Cricetulus griseus: one gene and its partner. The protein of the gene in region 1 interacts with the protein of each later gene in a pairwise test. Links are inferred from orthologs where the notes say so. Each region holds a gene or a part of one and is shown on either strand. Other genes may lie near its edges. The genes, in order: Prr22 and Nelfa.

Region 1 (10,770 bases):
GATAGGTGGCTGGGAGAATAATCCCTTGCAACTGCCCTGGCCACTCCTTCCTCTCCCAGCCCCTCCCTCATGTTCCCCACAGGAGTCAGCCACGTGTGCATTTGGTGACCGGTGCCGATTCCTTCATGATGTGGGGCGCTACCTGGAGACAAAACCAGCAGACCTGGGCCCCCGCTGTGTGCTGTTTGACACCTTCGGCCGATGTCCTTACAGCGTGACCTGTCGCTTTGCGGGGGCACACCTGGGGCCTGAGGGTCAGAACCTGGTGCAGGAAGAGGTGGTAGCTCGCTGTGTGCACCTCCCTCTAGTGCGCAATGGCCTGAACAGGGCCCTGCAGCAGCAGCTGCGTAAGCGCCAAGTGTGCTTTGAACGAGCTGAGCAGGCCCTGCGCCGCCTGACCCAGGGCCCCATGCCCGTTGTTGTCCCTGAGGCCACTGTAGCCACGGTTACCCCAGACCAGAACAGCTGCCATGCCCAGTTGGACACTGCGGGAGGGGCCAGCACCCCGAGTGGCAGCCCTATTTCCACCTGTGGCCCCTTGACGGACGAGGACATTATTCGGCTACGGCCCTGTGAGAAGAAGCGGGTAAGGGTACTGTAAGCATGGGACACAAATGGAAAGGGAGCCAAGGAATACCACAGGTCACAGTAAGCATAGCAACTTCCGGCCCTGCTCCAGGGAAAGGCTTCACCAGTGTTAACAGCTCTGCTCTGGCAGGAGAGGGCTTCCCCAGTGAAGTTTTACAGTTCTGCTCTGTCCCTGGAGTATAGTGTAACATCTCCTCTTTACTAGGGGAAGGTTTCCCCGGTGAGAGCGTTACAGCCCTGCTCCACTCCACTCAGGCTCTATCTCTGCTTTAGTGAAGGAAGGTCTTACCCAAACCTCATTCAAGAGATTTATTGGGAGGGAATAATCCAGGAAGATGGTTGCCATTTGCCAGGGTTGAAAAGGCAGCAACAAACTGAACAGGCACAGGGATTATATAGGGCTTCTTCGGGTAGAGTTTTTCCAGGGAGAAGATTTCCAGGGTGGGATTGGTCAGATTTCAGTCCCTTGAGCTCAGATTGGGTAGATCTCATGCTCAGGGATTGGTTCTTTTTCTGCTCAGGGATTGGTTCTGATTTCCTGGTCAAAGTGCTTTTTGTTTGTTTGTTTCTCCGGTTTTTTGAGACAGGGTTTCTCTGTGGCTTTAGAAGCTGTCCTGGATCTAGCTCTTGTAGACCAGGCTGGTCTCGAGCTCACAAATATCGGCCTGCCTCTGCCTCCCGAATGTTGGGATTAAAGGCGTGTGCCACTACCACCTGGCCAAAGTGTGTTTTTTTTCACTGGTCCTTTTTATCCTGTTGGCTCTAATTTCAGGGCCAGGATGGATTTCTTTCACTGGCTCTGGTTTCAGGGCCAACTTCAGTTTCTTTGGCTGGCCCTTTTACCCTACAGGTACAGGCATAGCATCTGGGCTCCAACATTGTCCACAATCCTGCCTCACCAGAAAGAGCCTGGAGGATCAGGGCTAGGGGCTAAGGGGGCAACATGGAAGACTCCTGAAGGGAAGGGCATTGAGACTAGGGTTTTAGTGGTTGACTAGAAGCTCTCCAGTATAGAAGCCTGGGTGCTGATGAACTTTTCTCCTAAGAGGAATGGATGTGGTGTGTACAGAGCAAGCAATAGAAGGAGGCCACTGGGCGTGTGGGAGGGAGAGCATGCGTTAGAGCGGGGAAGGAGGCCTAACTTCACCTGATGTTTCCTTCCCTCCCAGCTGGACATCAGTGGAAAGCTATACCTTGCTCCGCTCACCACGGTAGGAGGTGCCTGGGGTGGGTGGCTCAGTAGTTCCTGGGGCATTGCTGGTGTCTGGTGTCCCTGCTTTGCTGACCTCTGAGGCCTGAACATGTCCTTGTCCTAGCCAGTGCGGGAACCTACCCTTTCGCCGCATCTGCAAGCGCTTCGGTGCGGATGTGACGTGCGGTGAGATGGCCGTGTGCACGAACCTGCTGCAGGGACAGATGTCTGAGTGGGCCTTGCTCAAGCGCCACCCCTGCGAGGACATCTTTGGGGTGCAAGTTAGTGTTTGCCCTGAGGGAGTTTGGAAGGGGCAGCCATGTTGGGGAGCAATACCCAGGATCTGTGGCCTTGTCCCCCTGACCTGGTGTCCGTGGGATGACCCTGGTGGGCTGGTCACTGACTACACACTGCCTGGTGCAGCTAGAGGGCGCCTTCCCTGACACCATGACCAAATGCGCTGAGCTCCTGAACCGCACCATCGACGTGGACTTTGTGGACATTAATGTGGGCTGCCCCATCGACCTTGTCTACAAGAAGGTGACAGCCACTCAGCTCTGGAGCTTGGGAGGGTGTGGCCCAAGCCTGGGACCCTGCCCTGCTGTCTCCATCTGGACATGGAGAACACTGAGCTGGGTGGCAGGCAATTCAGTTGTATGTGGGCACCCATAGGGAGAGTGTACGTTTCTTGGGAGGGTCACCAGGCTGTCCGTGTCCCACAGGGTGGCGGCTGCGCACTCATGAATCGCTCAGCCAAGTTCCAGCAGATTGTAAGGGGCGTGAATGAGGTAACCTGGGCTCATCAGGGACATGTCCCTCCTCGTTCCCACATAGTTCACCATGCAGCCTCCAGGCTTGCTGTCTGCTCCCTCTCTGCCCTTGTACCCACAGGTGCTGGATGTGCCATTGACTGTGAAGATGCGCACGGGTGTTCAGGAGCGTGTGAGCCTGGCACACCGCCTGCTGCCTGAGCTGCGGGACTGGGGTGTCGCACTGGTCACAGTGGGTGTCAGGGGCAGTGTGGTCCCATCTTGGGGTCACTGTGGTTTTCCTGGTCTCTTGTTTTCTGTCTCTTTGGTTCCTTGCTGTCTCCCTTGCCCCCTCTCACCCTTAACCCCTCCACCTTCCTTCATCACTGCACCCCCCTCCCCTCAGCTCCATGGCCGTTCCCGGGAACAGCGCTACACCAGGCTGGCTGACTGGCCCTACATCGAGCAGTGCGCCAAGGTAGCCAGCCCCATGCCCCTGTTCGGTAGGTGCCCAGAGCCACCGGGGCCACTCACCCTGCTGGAAAGACAGGGAGGATGCTGGGTCCCTGGGAAATCCCAAGACCGATGACTTCCCCAACACTGTCAAGACGCCACTCTGTCTCCTCAGGAAACGGGGACATCCTTTCGTTTGAGGATGCCAACTGTGCCATGCAGACAGGTGTCGCAGGGGTCATGATCGCCCGGTGAGTGGCATCTGGGCTGGGACAGGGATGCTAGAGGTTTCTACACATGGGGCCTCTGGGTGGGCAAGGCCCGGTGCTAAGGTGACTGGCAGGAAGCACTGTACCCACTGACTGTCTCCCTCCACAGTGGTGCCTTGCTCAAGCCCTGGCTGTTCACAGAGATCAAGGAACAGAGACACTGGGACATCTCGTCCTCTGAGCGCCTGGACATCCTGAGGGATTTCACACACTACGGCCTGGAACACTGGGGCTCTGACACGCAGGGTGTGGAGCGGACCCGGCGCTTCCTTCTCGAGTGGCTCTCCTTTCTTTGCAGGTGAGCGTCAGACAAGGAGAGTGCTGGAGCCTCGGATTGTAGCCTCAGGCCTCACCCAGTCTTATTGCCTCCCCTGTCCTCCTGCAGGTATGTGCCCGTGGGCCTGCTTGAGCGACTCCCACAGAGGATCAATGAAAGACCACCCTACTACCTAGGCCGAGACCACCTGGAGACGCTCATGGCCAGCCAGCAGGCCGCAGACTGGATTCGCATCAGGTACCCACTGGCCTGGGTCCTGTGGGGTGATGCTGGGAGGCCCAGGCCTGACTTGTCACCCTGTCCCCACAGTGAGATGCTGCTTGGACCAGTCCCACCCGGCTTTGCCTTCCTGCCCAAGCACAAAGCCAATGCCTACAAGTAGACAACGGAGACAATAAATTTTATTCTTCTACAACTTTTTTTTTGTTGGGTTTTTGAGACAAGGCTCCATGTTTCCTGGGATTTACTTTGAACTCCTGGAACCCTAGGCACGTACCTACCATCATATTCAGTTTTCTTTTATGTGCCATCCTTTCCTCTTCATCCAGGGTGTGGCCTTTGCTGGTGCCTGGTTCCTGTCTGCCCTGTTTTCGACTCCCAGCTATCCATTTTGCTGGCCAGCACCCTTGTGGCTGTGAATCTGGGCAACCTGGCCCAGGGTGTATCTACCCAGGCAGTGAAGGGAGTCACCTCCTGCCCACCCCCACCCCGGAATCCGAGGGGTGGGCCCATCCTGGACTGGAACCCTCCACCTAGCAACAGGGCAAACAACCCAGGGGACTGTGTCCCCGAGGTGCCTCTGCTGCCACCCAGGCCCCCCCCCCAGGGTGGCCTGTCTGCCCCATGCAGCACCCCAAAACCCTCTACCCCCCAGCCATACCCCAGGAAGGCTTCGGCCCACGGGGCCTGGAGGGCACTGAGGTGCCAGGTGGCCCAGAACCACTTCCCACCGTAGGTACGATGGTGGTAGCAGGCAGGGGTGTGTGATGGCCACGGGGCCTGGGCTCCTGCCCCACCCACCAGACGCCTTTATCCACAGCCAGCGCCAGCCTGCTCTATCAGACTCCCGGCTCGGACCACGATGTGCTATCAGCGCCTCCAGCAGGTACTGGCCAGCACCCTGAGCATGCTGAGAGCAGGCTCCGTCCTGACCCGAGATGAGACCCTGGGTCGCCTCTGTACCCCAGACAGATCCCCCCCATACTAACTCATGTGCCACAGTTTGAAGTGACAACTAGAGACCAGGCCGAAGCTTGCTTCGGTGACAACAGCTGCCACTAGGTAAGGGTTTTCACAAGGCCAAGCCACTCACAAGCTCAGTCACTGCTCCCCTGAGAATAGGAGTTTCCCCAACAGTCTCCGAGTGTCTTACCCGCCATGAATCCCCAGATGACTGCTAAACAAAGCCAGTACACACAGGCACCTTTGAGGTGAGGGCTGTGTCCTATGTGCCTGGGTCTTGGTCTGTCCCTCCCATCCCATGGTCTGGTTCCCCCATGGACACCCCTCTCAGAGTGTCTGCCACCTGCAGGCTTCCAGATGGCTCCCTGCGGCTGCTTCTTTGACCCCCGCATCTACCGAATCGAGTGGGCCACCTCCGACTTCGGCCAGTCGTCCCTATACAAGGTGGCAGTGGCCGGGGGTCCCACCTTGTCCAGTGGCTACCTGCTGGAGGCCCCATCCTACCTCAAGGCCCCGGGGCCTCCACCTCCGCTGTACCCCCACTACCAGCCAGCTCCCGGTGGGCCACAGTACCTTACACACTACCTTCCACCTGAGGAGTCTGGGCCCGAGGCAGTGGGCTTTGTGGGGGATGGAGGGTCCCTCAACTTTATGGAGATGCTCAGAGATGGCCTGGCACCCCCACCAACCCCCAAAGAGACTAAGCCATCTCCCTTGCTCATCACAGTCCCTACGGCACACTCGCTGCCACCTGGACCCTATGGCCATCTCAGTGGCCATGCTAGCCAGTTCCCAGGGCCCCAGGTGACCATGAGGCCCATCGAAGCCCCCAGGGAGCTGCAGGGCAGTGCCGTGGCCAGGCTGGGTCTGCGGTTCCCTCCTGGGCCTGCGGAGCCCAAGGTGGCCGAGGTGGAGGACATCACCCCCATGGGCTCAGGTGAGACCGTGCCTCCTGAGGTGGCCCGCGCTTTCTTCTTACCGGACAAGGTCCTTCTAGAAGATGCCATGAAACTTTTCGATTGTCTCCCTGGTGGCGCTGAACCTGAGGTGGCCCTGCACAGGGGTACCGGGCCCAGCCCGAGAGACAGTGGTGGTGGTGGGGATGACTGCACAGCCGACATCCGCTCCCTGCACCTGCCAGATGAGCTGCTGTCCTTCGACTATGGCGTCCCTGAGGTCCTGGATGCTGTGGCCAGTGTGGATTACGTTTTCAGCTTCAAGGCCCTGGATGATGAGCCGCTGCCCCATGTGGGGGTCCCTGTCACTGACATGGTGGCCCCTGGCCTACGGTCCCATCAGTCAGGAAAGAAGACCACCACATCCACCAAGAAAGGGAAACCAGGTGGCAGACAACGGCAGACCACAGGCCCCGCTGGCACCACAACCACAGGACCCAGGCCGGACCCGGGAACTGCCCTCAATTAAAGTGATTTGATCTCTGCTATGTGTTGCTGTGACCTGGTGAGGCCAGAGGGGACCCGGCAGTAGCTAGACGCCTTCAGAGTTGGGCCAGGAACCTCAGAATTAAGTGTCAGGTATCAGGCGTGCATCTGAACTGTTACCCTGTATTCGGGAGGCTGGGGCAGTCAGTCAGAACCACAAAGGATGCCCCGTCTAAAAGAAATGAGGACACAGGGGCTGGGCTGTAGCTCAGTAGAATACAGTGTTGGGTTTCAGTGCTTGGGGTTCAGTGGGTAGAGTGCTTGGGGCTCAGTTGCTACACACAAGACCCTGGACTCCATCCCCAGTGCCACATGAACTGTGTGTTTCATGAGTGTAACCCTGGTGCTGAGGAAATGAGAGGAACCAAAAGAATCAGAATTTCAAGGCTAGCCTGAGCTATATGAGACTGTATCAACAAGAAAATCAGTCACCTGGGGCTGGCCATGTTGGGAGGCCTCCTGAGAAGTGGGGTTTTCTTTTCCATCCAGACCTCACACTGAAATGGGTTCCCTTGTATGTTTGGTGGTCCAGAGAGGAGTGTACACAGTGTGGAGGGCAGGCCCTGGCCGGTGGCTCTCCCCGCCAGCTCTCAGTACCTCAACAGTCCCCACAAAGCCACAGTTTGTAGAAGGCAGGCAGGGAGGTCACCGCTGCTATTTGGGGGCTATGGTGGTATCTGGGAAGCTGAGCTCAGACTCAGCATGGTTGCTGGGGAGGGCATGACACAGATGGTTATTTGTGGGCCAGGTGTGGGCTTTGGGGGAGGGTGCTGTGTGTTGTGGGGAGGGAACAAGTCTTTCCCCCCAAAGCTGAGGGTGCCAGAAGGGGGTCTGTCTCTTGGGGAGCCCACAGTCAAGAGCAAGAGCAGGTGAGGCTAACAGGATCCCAAACCCGTGAAGGTGGAAGGAGAGAACCAGCTCCACAGAGTTGTTCTCTGACCATATAGTCATAATTTACCAGTCTGTCACCCAAGGCCACTGCTGCTTGTGGTCGTCATTCTCTCCCTCACCTACTCTGTAAATGTTTGTTAGCTGAGACAGGGTCTCAGTGTGTAGCCCTGGCTGGCCTGGAGCTCACAGGGATTTGTCTCCCTCAAGGCATGCGCTACCATGCTTCGCCTCCTTTTCTTTCCTTCCTTCCTTCCTTCTTTTTTTGTTTTTTGTTTTTTTCTGAGACAGGGTTTCTCTGTGTAGCTTTGGAGGCTGTCTTGGAACTAACTCTTGTAGACCAGACTGATCTTAAACTCACAGAGATCCACCTGCCTCTGCCTCCCAAGTGCCGGGATTAAAGGCGTGCGCCGCCGCCACCGCCGCTACCACCACCTGGCTCTTAGCTTGCTTTTCTTTCTTGGACAAGACTTTTGTAGCTCCAGGTGGCCACAAACCTATGTAGTTGAGAATGACCTTGAACTCCTAGTCTTTTGTCCTCTACCTGCAGAGTGCTGGGTTGACAGGTCCTGTGGGCAGAGCTCAGTGCCTCCTGTGTGTGGGCAGATGCTCTGCCCACTGAGCAGCCCATCTTAATTCCACTAACAGAGTCCTATGAGAGTTGGAGTTCCCTGCCTTGCTCGGTGCCCCCCTTCCCAGAGTTGCTGGGAAGAGACACCATCTATCTCCTGGCTTCCTTCCCTCCAGTGTGGCTAAGCAAGAGTTTGGGAGGTACAGCTTTAGGATTGTAGAGTAATGATGGAAGGGCTTGCATGTAAGTGCTGTGAATCATGGGTCGGGAGCACCGTGTAGCATGGAAGTGCTCCTCATCGGGCTGGGGCACATCCAGGAAGTTCCCCTGGAAGCAGTTCCAATTGAGATCAATGACAAAGGTCGCAGTGGGCAGAGCCTTTGACTGGCACGGATGAAGTCCTGGGTCAGCCCCCAGTACCACATAAATGGTATGGCAGCCCACATATGTCATCTCAGAACTAGGTGGAGGCAGGAGGCTCAGGAGTTCAAGGTCACCTGCTACTATATAGCCTTTAAGACCAGCACTCGGAGGCAGAGGCAGGCATGTATCTGTGAGTTCGAGACCAGCCTGGTCTACAAGAGCTATAGTTCCAGGACAGCCTCCAAAGCCTCAGAGAAACCATCTCAAAAAACAAGAACCAACCAAACAAACAAACAAAAAGACCCCACTCAGGAGGCAGAGACAGGCAGCTCTCTGTGAGTTTGAGGCCAGTCTGGGCTACATAGTTCCAGACTGGCTAGGTAGTTCAACCCTATCTTTGAAAGTAAAAAGCTGAAATTGGTTACATGTAGCACAGGAATGGAAACAGGACTGTGGGGTCTTGGCCATCGGCTTAGTTCCAGTGTCAGCAAGAGACTGTCCTCCAAGTTCCTCCTCTCGCTTTCACATCATGCACAGCCCTGGGCCGATCAGTGATCTAAAGTGTCCGGGCGCTTGCCCCAGAAAACAACCTGACCCAGTGTCTGAAGGGAAGAGCCATGGTGGAAGGTTAGGTCCCGAATGTCTGAAGGATGATGCCAAGCTCCTGCCTGTCCTGCGAGTGTCTGAATGGCAATGCTAAGATCCCACCTGTTGTCCCTGGGCCACCCCCACCCCTGCCACCACCCTGAGACTCTGTCTGCTCCTGCTAAGAGCAAGAAGCTGACAAGCCTGAGCACGGGGACGGCAGTTCTGGGAATGGGCGAAGTCACTAAAGGGTGGTAGGGTGGGGCCTGGAGCAGGACCCGGGGATGGAGACACATCAGCCCGAGATGGGAGAACCAGGAGGGAAGACAAGCTTCAGGGAGAGAATGTCTCCCTGGGTGGGAGACCTCCATTTTCTTTATTAAACAACAAAAAGATTTTCATTTCATGTCTGCTGGTGTCTTGCCTGGGTGTGCCTGTGCCCCATGTGAGCGCAGTGCCTGAGGAGGCTGCACAGGGCCTAACGCAGTTACAGATGCTCGTGGAGTGCCATGTGCATGCTGGGAATTGAATCCAAGTCCTCTGCTCTAAATACTGACCCATCTCCCCGGTCCCCAAATAAATCTTTTTGTTTTTGTTGTGTTTTTCAAGATGGTTTCTCTGTGTAGCCCTGGCTGTCCTGGAACTCACTGTGTAGACCAGGCTGGACTTGGACTCACAGAGATCTGCCTGCCTCTGCCCCCAGAATGCTAGGACTAAAGGCGTGCGCCACCACACATGACTCCAAATCTCTCTCTCTCTCTCCTTTTTGTTTTTTTGAGACAGGGTTTCTCTGTGTAGCTTTGGAGCCTATCCTGGAACTCACTCTGGAGACCAGGCTGGCCTTGAACTCACAGAGATCCGCCTGCCTCTGCCTCCGGAGTGCTGGGATTAAAGGCGTGAGCCACCAACGCCCAGCTTCTTCTTTTTTTTTTTTTTAAAGTTTTCCCCAAACCATGAAGGACCAATGTCCTTTGAGCTCTACATCATGTGGGACAAGGGAGTTGAAGCAGGTTAGGCCGCCACCACTAGACAGACTGCTGGAAGCATCACTGCATCAGGGAGCTTTTGTTGCAGAGCCCTGCAAGTTGGTACATGCCAACATGCACCACCTCCTGCCAAGGCTCGGGGAGACTTGGTAGTCTGGAGTATGCATGGGGAGGCAACAGGTTTCCAGGATGAAGAGCAGAAATAGAAAACAGGATCAGGGCCCCAGTGAGACCCAGGCCTGGGCCAGGTCCTGATCTAACTGCCCAGAGCAAGTGCCAAGGCAGCCGCAGCTTGAGGCATTACTTTGAATGGAGTGCTTGGGGGAGGAGCTGGGAGCATAGTGCCATGGGAACACTCATTTCCTGAGTATGATGGTCTGCATGAGATGCGCCCCCCCACACCCTCAGACATTCGAATCCTTGGTCCTTAGTTGGTGGTACTGTTTGCTTACAGAACCTTAGATGATGCTTGTTCCTGGGGTGGGCATGGGTGTGTAGCCTCCCACCACCTCCAGCTCTCAGCTTCCTGCTCTGGGTACCGGCTGTCTCACCTCACCTGCCATTACAGACTGTCCTTCAGGAGTAGCTGTGGTCCAATCATGGCTGTCTCTCAACAGGAAGGCCAAGACTCTGCTAGTTCTGTCCACCAGGCTAGGTGTCTTAGCTGCCCTTGTCTGTATTGAAAACTTGAGGAAACTGGCCCTCGAGTTTGAATTCCACCCCAGCTGTGTTTGAAGGCCACAGGGGCCTTCAAATACCAAGTGTGGTGGTTTGGATGAGAATGGCCCCCACAGGTTTGTATGTCTGAATGCTTGGTCCCCACCTGGGGGAGTTGTCTGGGAAGGATTAGGAGGTGTGACCTTGTTGGACGAGATGGGCTTGGAGGGTTCAAAAGCCCCATGCCAAACCAAGCCATGGGGGCACTCACCTTTAGTCCAACCACTCAGAAGGCACAGTCATGTGGATTTGTGTGAGGTCAGCCTAGTCTACACAACAAGTTCCAGAAGAGCCAGGGCTACACGGAGAAACCCTGTCTCAAACAAACAAAACCAGTCCACATAGGCCCATCTCTCAGCCTCCCTCTTATGGGTCACATGTAGCTCTCAGCTACTACTTCAGAGTCAAGCTTGTCTGCTCCCCACCATGATATGCATGGGCTCCCCCTATGAAACTGTAAGCAACGCCCAGTTAACACTTTTTTTTCCCCCCAAGAGGTTTTCCTCTG
Region 2 (10,967 bases), on another chromosome or scaffold:
CTCTGAAGCCTATTCCTGCTATAAAAGTCATGCCAGTGAGTCAGGCAGTTTCTCATTGTTGTTATCCTGGCTTCTCCCTCTCCCTGGGTTCTGGGCAACCTGGCCCTGTTCTTACACCCAAGTTCTCTCCTCCAGCCACGTGGTTTATCCTCAGCACCCAACTGTCACTCCGCACCAGCCCTCTCCTGGGCCTGGGCCTGGGCCTTCTTCTTAGGGAATCTTTCCTGATCGCAGGGCCTCTCTGATCCTCAGGCTCTCTCCCTCCCCACCTGGGGATTGATTTACTCTGGGCTACCTTCTGTTGCCTGGGATCCATCTTTGACAGGTGATTGCTCCTCACTGACAGCTGTCAAAGGTTGCATGGCTGCATTGTGCATGCACTAGGTGGCAGAAATCATGTGGAACTGGGGCCACATAGAGCTGGGCTAACGGAAGCTCCATGACTCCAGTTTCAATGACCCCAACTGCTGAGACGCATTCTAAACAGTTCCCATCCCCTATATAATAAGCGAGTACCTCCAGCTCATTCTCTTCTTTTTTTTCCATTTCTGCTGCCCTCCCTTTGCTTCCTTTCCCAATAAACTCCATGTAGATTTGTTGAGTTTGGTGGATCATGTTTCATTTCCGGAAGCTGCAGCAAAGAGCAACACCCACCACAAACTGGGTTCAGGTAGGGAGTTGGGCTGCTGGCAACTTGAGGAGAGGAGCTGTAGAATTGGGCCTTTTGGTGCCTTCCCTTTGTTCAGAGATTCTCTTGAGTGGGCAGGGTTTGGAAAGACAGTAATGGGACTTCTCAGACTGTGTGGGAACTGCAGGAGCAAGCTGGAGGTTCCAACAAAACACTCAGTACAGCTCAATGTTCAAAGATGGCACACTTGATTTCCAAACTCTTGCAGATTGTAACAACTTCTGCCACTGCACAAGCAAATAATCCCAACACATTTCTTTTTGTGTGTGTTGTTGTTGTTGTTCCTATAAGTAACCTTTCACCCATGTTCTTCTAAGTGATACCAATAAAACTCTTTGGTTCAACAAATTGGACTTTGGTGGTACCCATACTTCAGTCTGTCATGGGTTCCTTATCTGGGGTGAGTAGATTTGCTTTGTAATTTGTTTATGTTTCCCAGGGAATAGTGCCACACAGCTCACCCAATGTTGATCTCAGGACTTCACATTAACACACTCACACCACACACAAACAAGACAAGAGACTGACATAGAATAAGCTGCACATTTTAACTGTCCCTCACCCTCACCCTGGAAACCTCCTGCAGGCCTCAGTTGTAATTAGGGTGCATTCTGGCTTTGTGGAAATAGAAATTCACCATACTACTCTTTCATCCAGTGGACTGGTATAAGAACCTTCATTTCTCTTCTTCTGGGGTGAAGTGTATGAAATAAATCTGGTGTGGTGGTTTGGATAGGAATAGGCCCCCATCAGTTCACATATCCCAATGCTTTGTCATTACAAGGGAGTAGTGCTCTTTTATAGGGATTAGATGTGTTGCCCTATTGGAGTAGGTATGGTTTTGGTGGAGGAAGTGTGTCACTGGGGGTGGGCTTTGGGGTTTCAAATGTTCAAGAAAGGCCCAGTCTGTCTCTGTCTTTCTCTCTTTCTCTCTCTGCTGCCTGTGGAACTGGGTCTGGATGTAGAACTCTAATCTACCATGTCTGCCTGCACAACACCATGCTCTCCTCCATGACGATAATGGACTAAACCTCTGAAACTGTAAGCCAGCCCCAATCAAATGCTTTCCTTTATTAGGAGTTGCTGTGATTATAGTGTCTCTTCACAGCAATGCAACACTGACTAAGACATCTGGGATCTCAGGATCCAAAAATCCTTCATCAAAATGGTTGTTTTTGGGATTTTTGTGTGTGTGAAAGGGGTAAACTAAACTAAAAGGCTTTACTCCTAGTAGTAAAGGGACCAGACCCCCATTTAGCCCCCTGCTTTAGCAGCCATGACAGGCTGCAGAAGACTTGTAGGCCTCTGACTCAGCACATGACACAAACGCCAGACACCCCCCCCCCAGCCTCCTAGATACTTGTAGATACTTGGTTGCTGGAACTGTTTGGCTACAAAAGAAACTCCAGGGGAGACCAAAACCTCCCCAATAGTCTACAGGATACAGTTCCAAAAACTATTGGTATCTATGAACAATAGGCCACCTGAAAGTAACAAAACAAAGCCATAGAAATCACAGAATGTTCCCTCTCAGCACTGACCAATGAGAATAATTGGTACACAGGTATTTCATGCCAAAATATGACTTTTGAGAAATTCTCCTGATTGTTCCCAAATGTCAACCAATCAGAAACAAACCTGTACCTACTCATGTAATCCTGTAACTTTGTCTTTAAAACCTAGCAGAAGACAGGAAACTTCACTCCCTTTAGAGGCTGCTGCATCAGCTTGCTATATGAGGTCCCTGTCATGGTTGAATGAACTGCTTTTGCAGGTTGGTGGGTCTGTCTTCCTGGTGGTCTCTGGGGATCTTTGCGACTTGGGCAAAACAAGTATGAATAACTTTTTTCTTTTGAGGCAGGGTCTCACTATGTAGTTCCTGCTGTCCTGGAACTTATTATTTAGACTAGGCTGGCCACCAACTCAGAGATCTGCCTGCCTCTGCCTCCCAAGTGCTGGAACTAAAGTCATGTGCCATCACACCTGGCAAGTATGAGTAATTTGGAGCACCAGGAAAGTCCACTTCACTACAAGTGTTGACTTCAAAATACTAAATTCCTGATGCTCCCTGAAGCAGGCAACACACAAAAAAGTATCTTCCCTGCCATTAACTATGTATATAACATCCGGTAACTTCAGGAAGTGGCCTTGTGAGTCTTACATCTTCAGAGCTCCCTCCTTTGTACTTTAGTTACCACACTACAGTCTTTTAAGAGCGCTCTCCTCTCTACAGGAAACAATTTTTCAATTAGGAGAAAACAGATAAACACTTCTTTCTTTATACAGTCTCATTCTGTGGCCCCAAATGGACTATAACTTGTGGCTCTGTCTCACCTTTTCCAATCCCAGCATTACAAGCATGGACCACCAGTCCCAGAATACTTAAGAGGACGGACATGGGTAGTGGCACACGCTTTTAATCCCTGTACTTGGGAGGCAGAGGCATGTGGATCTCGGGTGTCTTCCAGGACAGCCAGAGCTGCAAGTTGATTCCTGCTAGTAACCTCAGCATGGGGGGTGGGGTGCACTCCAGGAAAACCTACTCCACTCCACCTGTCTTAGGGTAAAAGCAGCAGTCTACAATTCTGATGATTAATCACAGGCATCTCCACCTGTCTCACACGTAGAACAGACCTGTACTCAAGCCCCACAATTCCTGGTACCAATCTGTCTTAGGGTTTCTATTGCTGCGATGAAGCACCATGACCAAAAAAGCAAGTTGGGGAGGAAAGAGTTTATTTGACTTATACTTTCATATTGCTGTTTATTATTGAAGGAAGTCAGGACAGGAATTCAAACAGGGCAGGAGCTGATGCAGAGGCCATGGAGGGGTGCTTACTGGCTTGCTACCTATGACTTGCTCAGCCTGCTTTCTTATAGAACCGAGGACCACCAGCCCAGGGATGGTTCCACCCACCATGGACTGGACCCTCCCCCATTGATCATTGAGAAAATAAAATGCCTTACAGCTAGATCTCATGGAGGCTTTCCTCAACTGAGGCTCCTTTCTCTGATAAGTCTAGCTTATGTAAAGTTGACACACAAAACCAGCAGTTCAACTGACCCCTTGTCAACCTGACACACACTCTTAAGCCACAACTCTTCCTTTTTTATTCATCCCCAAGATCTCACATTCAAAATTTAAATAACTTTAAAAGTCCCACCGTATGGGGCTGGAGAGATGGCTCAGAGGTTAAGAGCACTGGCTGCTCTTCCAGAGGTCCTGAGTTCAATTCCCAGCAACCACATGGTGGCTCACAACCATCTCTAATGAGATCTGGTGCCCTCTTCTGGCCTGCAGTCATACATGCAGACAGAACACTGTACACATAATAAATAAATCTTTAAAAAAAATAGTCCCGCCGTGCCGGGCGGTGGTGGCGCACGCCTTTAGTGCCAGCACTCAGGTGGCAGAGACAGGTGGATCTTTGCGAGTCTGAGACCAGCCTGGTCCGAACGAGTTCCAAGGCAGCCTCCAAAGCTACAGAGAAACCCTGTCTTGAAAAAAAAGTCTCACCGCAGCACTGTCTGCAGGTCGGCAAGGGGAAGAGTGAGAGGGTTCCAGGCTGCGAAGTGACGCCGTGAGGAACCAGGCCAACGGCCCCTCGGGACATCCGCCCACCGAGCAGTGAACGGAGAAACCGAACTCTATCCCCGGATTCTGGGCGGTGCATCTCGACGGCACAGGGGTGCGACTCAACTCGGGCTTACGTCATTGCCCGGCTCCGGGTTGGGCGCCGCCATGATGCGATACGGAAGCCCACAGGCCTCCTGGCAGCTCCGTATCGCGGCGGCGGCGCTCGGCCCTCGGCCCTCGGCCGGAAGCCTCCGCAAGGCGCAGCCGTCTGCAATCGCTCTTGTCTGTCGCTCGAGGCCCCGCCCCGCGCTCACGGGCGCCGCCATGTTGGGGGTCCTCGCTGGAGACACGTAGGCGTCCGCGTAAGATGCCGGCCGGCGCGCGTTACTGCCGCCAAGATGGCGTCCATGCGGGAGAGCGACACGGGCCTGTGGCTGCACAACAAGCTGGGAGCCACGGACGAGCTGTGGGCGCCCCCCAGCATTGCGTCCCTGCTTACCGCTGCGGTCATCGATAACATCCGCCTCTGCTTCCACCGTCTCTCATCGGCTGTGAAGCTCAAGCTGCTGCTCGGGACGCTGCATCTTCCGCGCCGCACGGTGGACGAGGTGAGGGCGCGGGTCGGCTTCTCTCCGGCCGGAGCGCAGCTCCCGCCTCCCGCCTCCCACCTCCCACCTCCCGCCTGCACCCACGCCGTGCCTTTCCTTTTCCCCCGCTGGCTGCGCTCATCTCCGGGTTGGCGCCGCTCGGCCTACCCACCCGGCCCGACGCGTCAGTGCCTCCAGCCGCCGGGCCGCTGGCTGCGACCGGGGGTCGTGGGCCCAAGGCCGGAACAGCCCTCAGCCCGGCTGGCCGGGCGCGGAGTACTGGACGCTGCAGTTCCGAAGCCACCTTTGGTTTGGGGCTCTTAGTCAAGTGACTGCTTATCTTAATTTTGTCGCCTTTGCCTCTCGGAGTATCAGTCTGCTTAGCATCCTCTCTATTCTGTCGACACTCTTCAGTGCATTCTTACTCCACGTTGCATCTCTGCAAAATATACGATGCTTTGCAAATACATACACAACAAATATCTCTGCAGGGTAGCCCAGCTTGACCTCCACGTACTTGGTATATCCTGCATCACTATCTGGAGGGCTGGGATTGCAGGTCTGGGCCACCACATCTGACAGCAAAAACACCAAAGCACCTTAGTTTTTAAACATTTCTGGTTAGTTGTATCACTAAGGTTGGTTTTAGTTTTTGTTGCGCTATTGAAAAAAAAAAAAGCAACTGCATGCTTTTCAGTTCAGCAAATACTAATAGCTAAATGACCCACTTCTGTTATCGTCATACAAAAGAACACGGCTGCATCCTCCCAAGCACTTCCTTGCCTCTCTTCCCCACGGGAGTAAACATTTATCTTTTCTTTTTCTTTCAGGATTATCAATTGTGTGTGCATTCCTAGCAGGAGTATTTAGTTTCTGCCTCATTTGAACTTAATATGGCAACATGTTACTATGTTATGTGCTTTTTTGGTGTAGTGTGGGTGTGTCCTCTGTCGGTAGACACTTGGACAGAGTCATACAAGTTGCTGCAGACAATTTGTTCCTTTCTTCCTTCTTTTTTTTTTTTTTTTTTTTTTTTTTGGAGGGGGTTGTTTTCGAGACAGGGTTTCTCTGTGTAACAGTCCTGTCTGTCCTGGAACTTTGTAGACCAGGCTGTCCTTGAACTCATTGAGATCTGCCTGCTTCTGCCTCCCAAGTGCTGGGATTAAAGGAGTGCACTGCCACAACCAGGCCAGAGTTTGATTTTTCATGCATTATGGTGTTCTCTTCTCCAAGCACACAGCACATGGACGATTAGGTTGTGGCTTGTTTTTTCATCTGTTTTTTTCCTGTTTCATGTTAGCTTGTTCTGTTGTGACTGACACCAGCATTATATGTCCAGGTGACTGTGAGCATGCATTTTTTCTAGAAGTAGAATTGTAGGTGGTAGCAGGATTATGGCAAGTGGCTTTTCAAAGCAATACTATCAAATAATTCTCAACGACACATAGGGCAAGTAAAATGGTTTAGTTGAATGTTGTGTCATCTGCTTATTTTTCTGTTTGGCTTTCTTTTTTGTGAGTTGTTCTACTTATTTTTCCTGGTGGTCTATTTTTCTTGGTTTGTCACTTTGGAAGAATATTCTTTTTAATAAATGCTGGCTTCTTACTGTCTTAGTTTGATGACATGTTTCAGCTGTTTCCCAGCTTAGCTTTTTGGATGGAGCTCTTGGTACTTAGCCTCTCCTTCCCTGTGGTTGTTGCCTGCTTAGCCTTGTTCAGAAAGTGCTTCTTCCTTGAGGTTAGGCACCTGTGCTCTCTCGTTAGCACTGCACTGTAAGCCTCCTCCTCCCATGGGCTGCTTTTGTGAAGCTGAGAGTTCAGTTTACATGTGGCTATGGAAGGTCCAACACCACAGACTGTTTTTTCTGCCCTATTGCTTCTGCTGTGAGCTTTTTTTTTTTTCCCCTGATAATGTGCTGAGCTATTTGCTATCACTTTATTGTTATGTGTTTTGATGTCATGCAGGCTCAGAAAGGTAGAGAAAGTTGACCTTCCTGGTCAGCTGATGCCCCAGAAGTTTTTCTCCTATTCCATCTCAAACAAAACCTCTCTTTAGACTGAATATCCCTCCCTTCTACCTCTTTTGTATCTATCTGTCCTCCTGACTCCCTCTTACTCTCTGTGATTTCTTCTTTTTATTTATTTATTTATTTTTTGTTTATTATGTATACAGTATTCTGTCTGCATGTGTCCCTGCAGGCCAGTAGAGGGCACCAGATCTCATTACAGATGGTTGTGAGCCACCATGTGGTTGCTGGGAATTGAACACAGGGCCTCTGGAAGAGCAGTCAGTGCTCTTAACCTCTGAGCCATCTCTCCAGCCCTTTTATTTCTTCTTAATAGTCTTATGTTCATTTCCTGTCAGCTGGTTGTTTGCTCCATCTGTTGACCTATGGTTGACTTTGTTTAATCCTGTTTACAATACTCAAGCAGAAAGCTCTTGGATTAAAGGTGTGTGCTAGGGCTGAGTCACACCACAGTAGACACAGGTTTTTTTTCAGTAAATAATGCACACTCGGGGCTCATAGTGTGATCCTACAATAGTGACATAAAGGGTAAAGCCTCCACCTAACCTGCAGTAATGGCTTCAGCTTTCCTTGGCCCCAGCACTTCTCTGGGTCTTTTTTGTGTGTGTATCTTTGTGTTTACATTTGTGCATGTGTATGTGCACATGTAGGTGGAAGTACGGTTTAGGTGTCTGCCTCAGTTGCTCTACAGCGTATTCCTGAGTTCTTCCTGTCTTCTCTGTAGAGCTGGACTATATAGGCTCATACCCACAGAGCAAGGCTTTTTATGTGGGTATGGGAATCTAAACGTGGGGCCTCCAACTTGGCTTGGTAACAGTCCACCAACGGAGCCATGTTCTCAGCTCACAGGGTAAATAGTCTTAATAGCACAGAGTCTTGCTGGGCAGTGGTGGCACAGGACTTTAATCCCAGCACTCGGAAGGCAGAGGCAGGCATATCTCTGAGTTTGAAGCCAGCCTGGTGTATAGAACAAGATCCAGGACAGCCAGAACTACACAGAGAAACCTTGTCTCAAAAAACAAAACAGTGTGTGTGTGTGTGTGTGTGTGTGTGTGTGTGTGTGTGTGTGTGTGTGTAACCTAGAGGAGGTTTGGGCAGTTATTTAGAACAGAATCATTAAGTTCTGTGATTCTCCTCTGTTTGTATATTTCATATTTTTGTTTGCTAATGGTATATAGAAATCCTTTAGACTTAGGCAATGAGTCAGAATAGCACCTGGGCTGAGGTCTCCTTTTTGTTGTTGTTGGTTTTGGTTTTGGCTTTTTTGTTTGCTTGTTTTTTTTTGTGGGGGGGGTTGTTTTGTTTTGAGACAGGGTCTCTACATAGCCTTGGCTGTCCAGAAACTCACTATGTAGACCAGACCAGACTGGCTTGGAACTTCCAGAGGTCTGTCTGCCTCTCCCTGTGCCTTCCAAGTGCTGGGATGAAAGGCAAACACTCAGCTCTGGGCTGAGATCTTTTTCTTTTTTTCTTTTCTTTTTTTGTTTGTTTTTCAAGACAGGGTTCTCAGTGGCTTTGGAGGCTGTCCTGGAACTAGTTCTTGTAGACCAGGCTGGTCTTGAACTCACAGAGATCCACCTGCGTCTGTCTCCCGAGTGCTGGGATTAAAGGCATGCGCCACCAACATCTGGCTTTGGGCTGAGATCTTATTGTGATTGTTTTCTGGTGTAATCGGGGTTTATTAATTTCTTTTTCTTACCTTACTATACTGTCTACTTGTACTGTTGATCCTCTGCATTGTAGCATCCTGGATTTGCCTGTTCCTCTGTATCAGCTGTTGCTTTGTATATTTTTGGTTTTGTGTTAATAGGTATGTATAACTTTGTAGTTGTTGTAGTTACATTGTGAACAGAACAGCAGGTGGAGATGTTACAGTATTGGCTAATGTTTTGTCCTTAGGTTTTTAAATGGTTCATAAAGAATTATTTTTTATTTTTATTACATTTATTTATTATGTTGCTATACTTTATATGTGGAGGTCACAGAACACCTTATAGGAGTAGGTTTTTTTCCAAAGATTAAACTCTGGTTGTCAGACTTAGTGGGAAATATCTTTACTTACTGCTAGGGCATCTTGCTGGCACTTAGATCCATTTATGCTTGTTTGGCTCTTTTTTTTTAATAACAGAGTCTCTATGCGGCCCTACTTGCTCCATCTCTCTCTGCCTCCAGTGTGTTGGAATTAAAGAAATGCACCACCATGTCTGGTCTTTGTAACAGTTTTTATCTGATGTTAATACTAGCTTAATCATCTTGTTTCTTGATGTGACTGTTGGGGTGATTTGAATGAGGATGTCTCCCATAGGTTCTGAGATTTGAATACTTGGCTCCCAGTTAGTAGCAGTTTTGGGAGACTTAGGAGTTGTGGCCTTCCTAGAGGATGTATATCATGGGGAGGGGGTGAGCTTTGAAATTTTAAAGACTGTTTCAAGTTCGTTCTTTGCTTCATCATTGTGGTTGAAGATGTGAGCCCTCAGCTCTGCTCCAGCTGTGTGTGTGCCGCTTGCTGCTACACCTCCCTGCCACAGTGGACTTTTATACTGGAACCCTAAACCCAAGTAAATTCTTTCTTCTGTAAATTGCCTTGGTCACAATGTTTATCACAGAAATAGAAAAGTAACTAATAGCCGAGTGGTGGTGGCGCACGCCATTAATACCAGCACTCGGGAGGTGGAGGCAGGAGGATTTCTGTGAGTTCGAGACCAGCCTGGTCTACAAGAGCTAGTTCCAGGACAGCCTCCAAAGCCACAGAGAAACCCTGTCTTGAACACCCACCACCACCACCCCCCAAAAAAGAAAGAAAAGTAACTAATATAGCGTTGTCTTAGTTTGGTTTCTATTGCTGTGATAAGATACCATAAGCAAAAACAACTTAGGGAATAACGTATTTCAGCTTGAGTTTATGAAGTCTGTCATGGAGGGAAGTCAGAGCAGGAACTGAAGCAAAAGCCATGGAGGAATGCTGCTTACTGGTTTACTTTCACAAACCACAGAAACACCTGCTTGGAGTAGCACCACCCACAGGCAGCTGAGCCCATCCCCATCAATCATAAGTCAAGAAAATGAGTCTGTTGTGGGATATGCCTTTAATCTGAGCACTCAGGAGGCAGAAGTAGGCAGATCTCTTGAGTTCCAAGCCATCCAGAGTGAGACTCTATTTAAAAAAAAAAAAGGAGGAAGAGGAAGCCATCTCCACAGACTTGCCTATAAAACAGTCTTTATGGCGACATTTCCAATGAGGTTAGGTTTCCTCTTCCGGGATAACTCTAGTTTGTGTCAAGTTGACAAAAAAAGCTAACCAGCACAGTTCACCCTTAGTCATCTTGCTACTCAAACATATCACTGTTAAATCATCATCTTTCTCTGTTGTATTTGTACCTAAAATCATGTTAATATTAACATCAAAATGCCAGGCGGTGGTGGCGCACGCCTTTAATCCCAGTACTCGGGAGGCAGAGGCAGGCGGATCTCTGTGAGTTCGAGACCAGCCTGGTCTGCAGAGGGAGTTGCAGGACAGGCTCTAAAGCTACACAGAGAAACCCTGTCTCTAAAAAAGAAAGAAGCAGCAGTGGTGTCCCCAAGGACTTGCCCATAGGCCAGTCTAAAGGAGACATTTTTTCAACCGAGGTTCCCTCTCCCCAGATGACTCCAGCTTTGTGTCAGGTTGACAAAAACTAAATAGCGTAGATGTGTATAAATGTCTCTGTATGTAGTGTTTATATACGCGAATATGTATGCAATTCTCCAAATCTGCACAGCCTTACTCTGTAGAAGCTAAGTAAACAGCAGTTCTCAACTAGTTCAAAGAGAAAAGTGTTTCAGTGGTCTGTGTTTCAGTTACTCAGTGAGGGATGCAGAATTAGTTGGAGTTGCTGACACCTTAATATGAACTAAGGATACCTTGTGTAAGGATGTAGATGATTGTAGAGACAACATAGGAACTGACAAGATGGTGCTTGAGTAAATTTAAAGGCCTTGAGGAAATGGGAAGTGCTGCTCCTGAATAGTACTCTGTAGTAGGCTTTCTTGGACTGCTAACCAGCTCCCAAGTCAAGACACAGAAACTTATCAGTTATGAATGCTCAGCCT

The links.
Region 2: the proteins of Prr22 (region 1) and Nelfa interact in a two-hybrid assay, tested with the Homo sapiens proteins (2 studies listed by BioGRID). The two-hybrid records come from large-scale screens. The link is inferred for Cricetulus griseus from reciprocal best matches to the Homo sapiens genes PRR22 and NELFA.

What each region holds. Positions count from the first base shown.
Region 1 is NC_048598.1:96,772,339-96,783,108, reverse strand, and holds Prr22 (proline-rich protein 22), read left to right. Parts: upstream 1-4,097; 5' UTR 4,098-4,371; coding exon 4,372-4,483; intron 4,484-4,523; exon of another isoform or gene 4,524-4,567; coding exon 4,568-4,633; exon of another isoform or gene 4,634-4,958; intron 4,959-5,059; coding exon 5,060-6,135; 3' UTR 6,136-6,154; downstream 6,155-10,770. Other genes in the region: Dus3l (tRNA-dihydrouridine(47) synthase [NAD(P)(+)]-like), read left to right, coding at 83-586, 1,758-1,799, 1,909-2,061, 2,204-2,320, 2,503-2,568, 2,672-3,032, 3,158-3,233, 3,361-3,549 and 2 more.
Region 2 is NW_023276807.1:102,941,406-102,952,372, reverse strand, and holds the start of Nelfa (negative elongation factor A), read left to right. Parts: upstream 1-4,520; 5' UTR 4,521-4,663; coding exon 4,664-4,873; intron 4,874-10,967. UniProt on the Homo sapiens protein: Essential component of the NELF complex, a complex that negatively regulates the elongation of transcription by RNA polymerase II.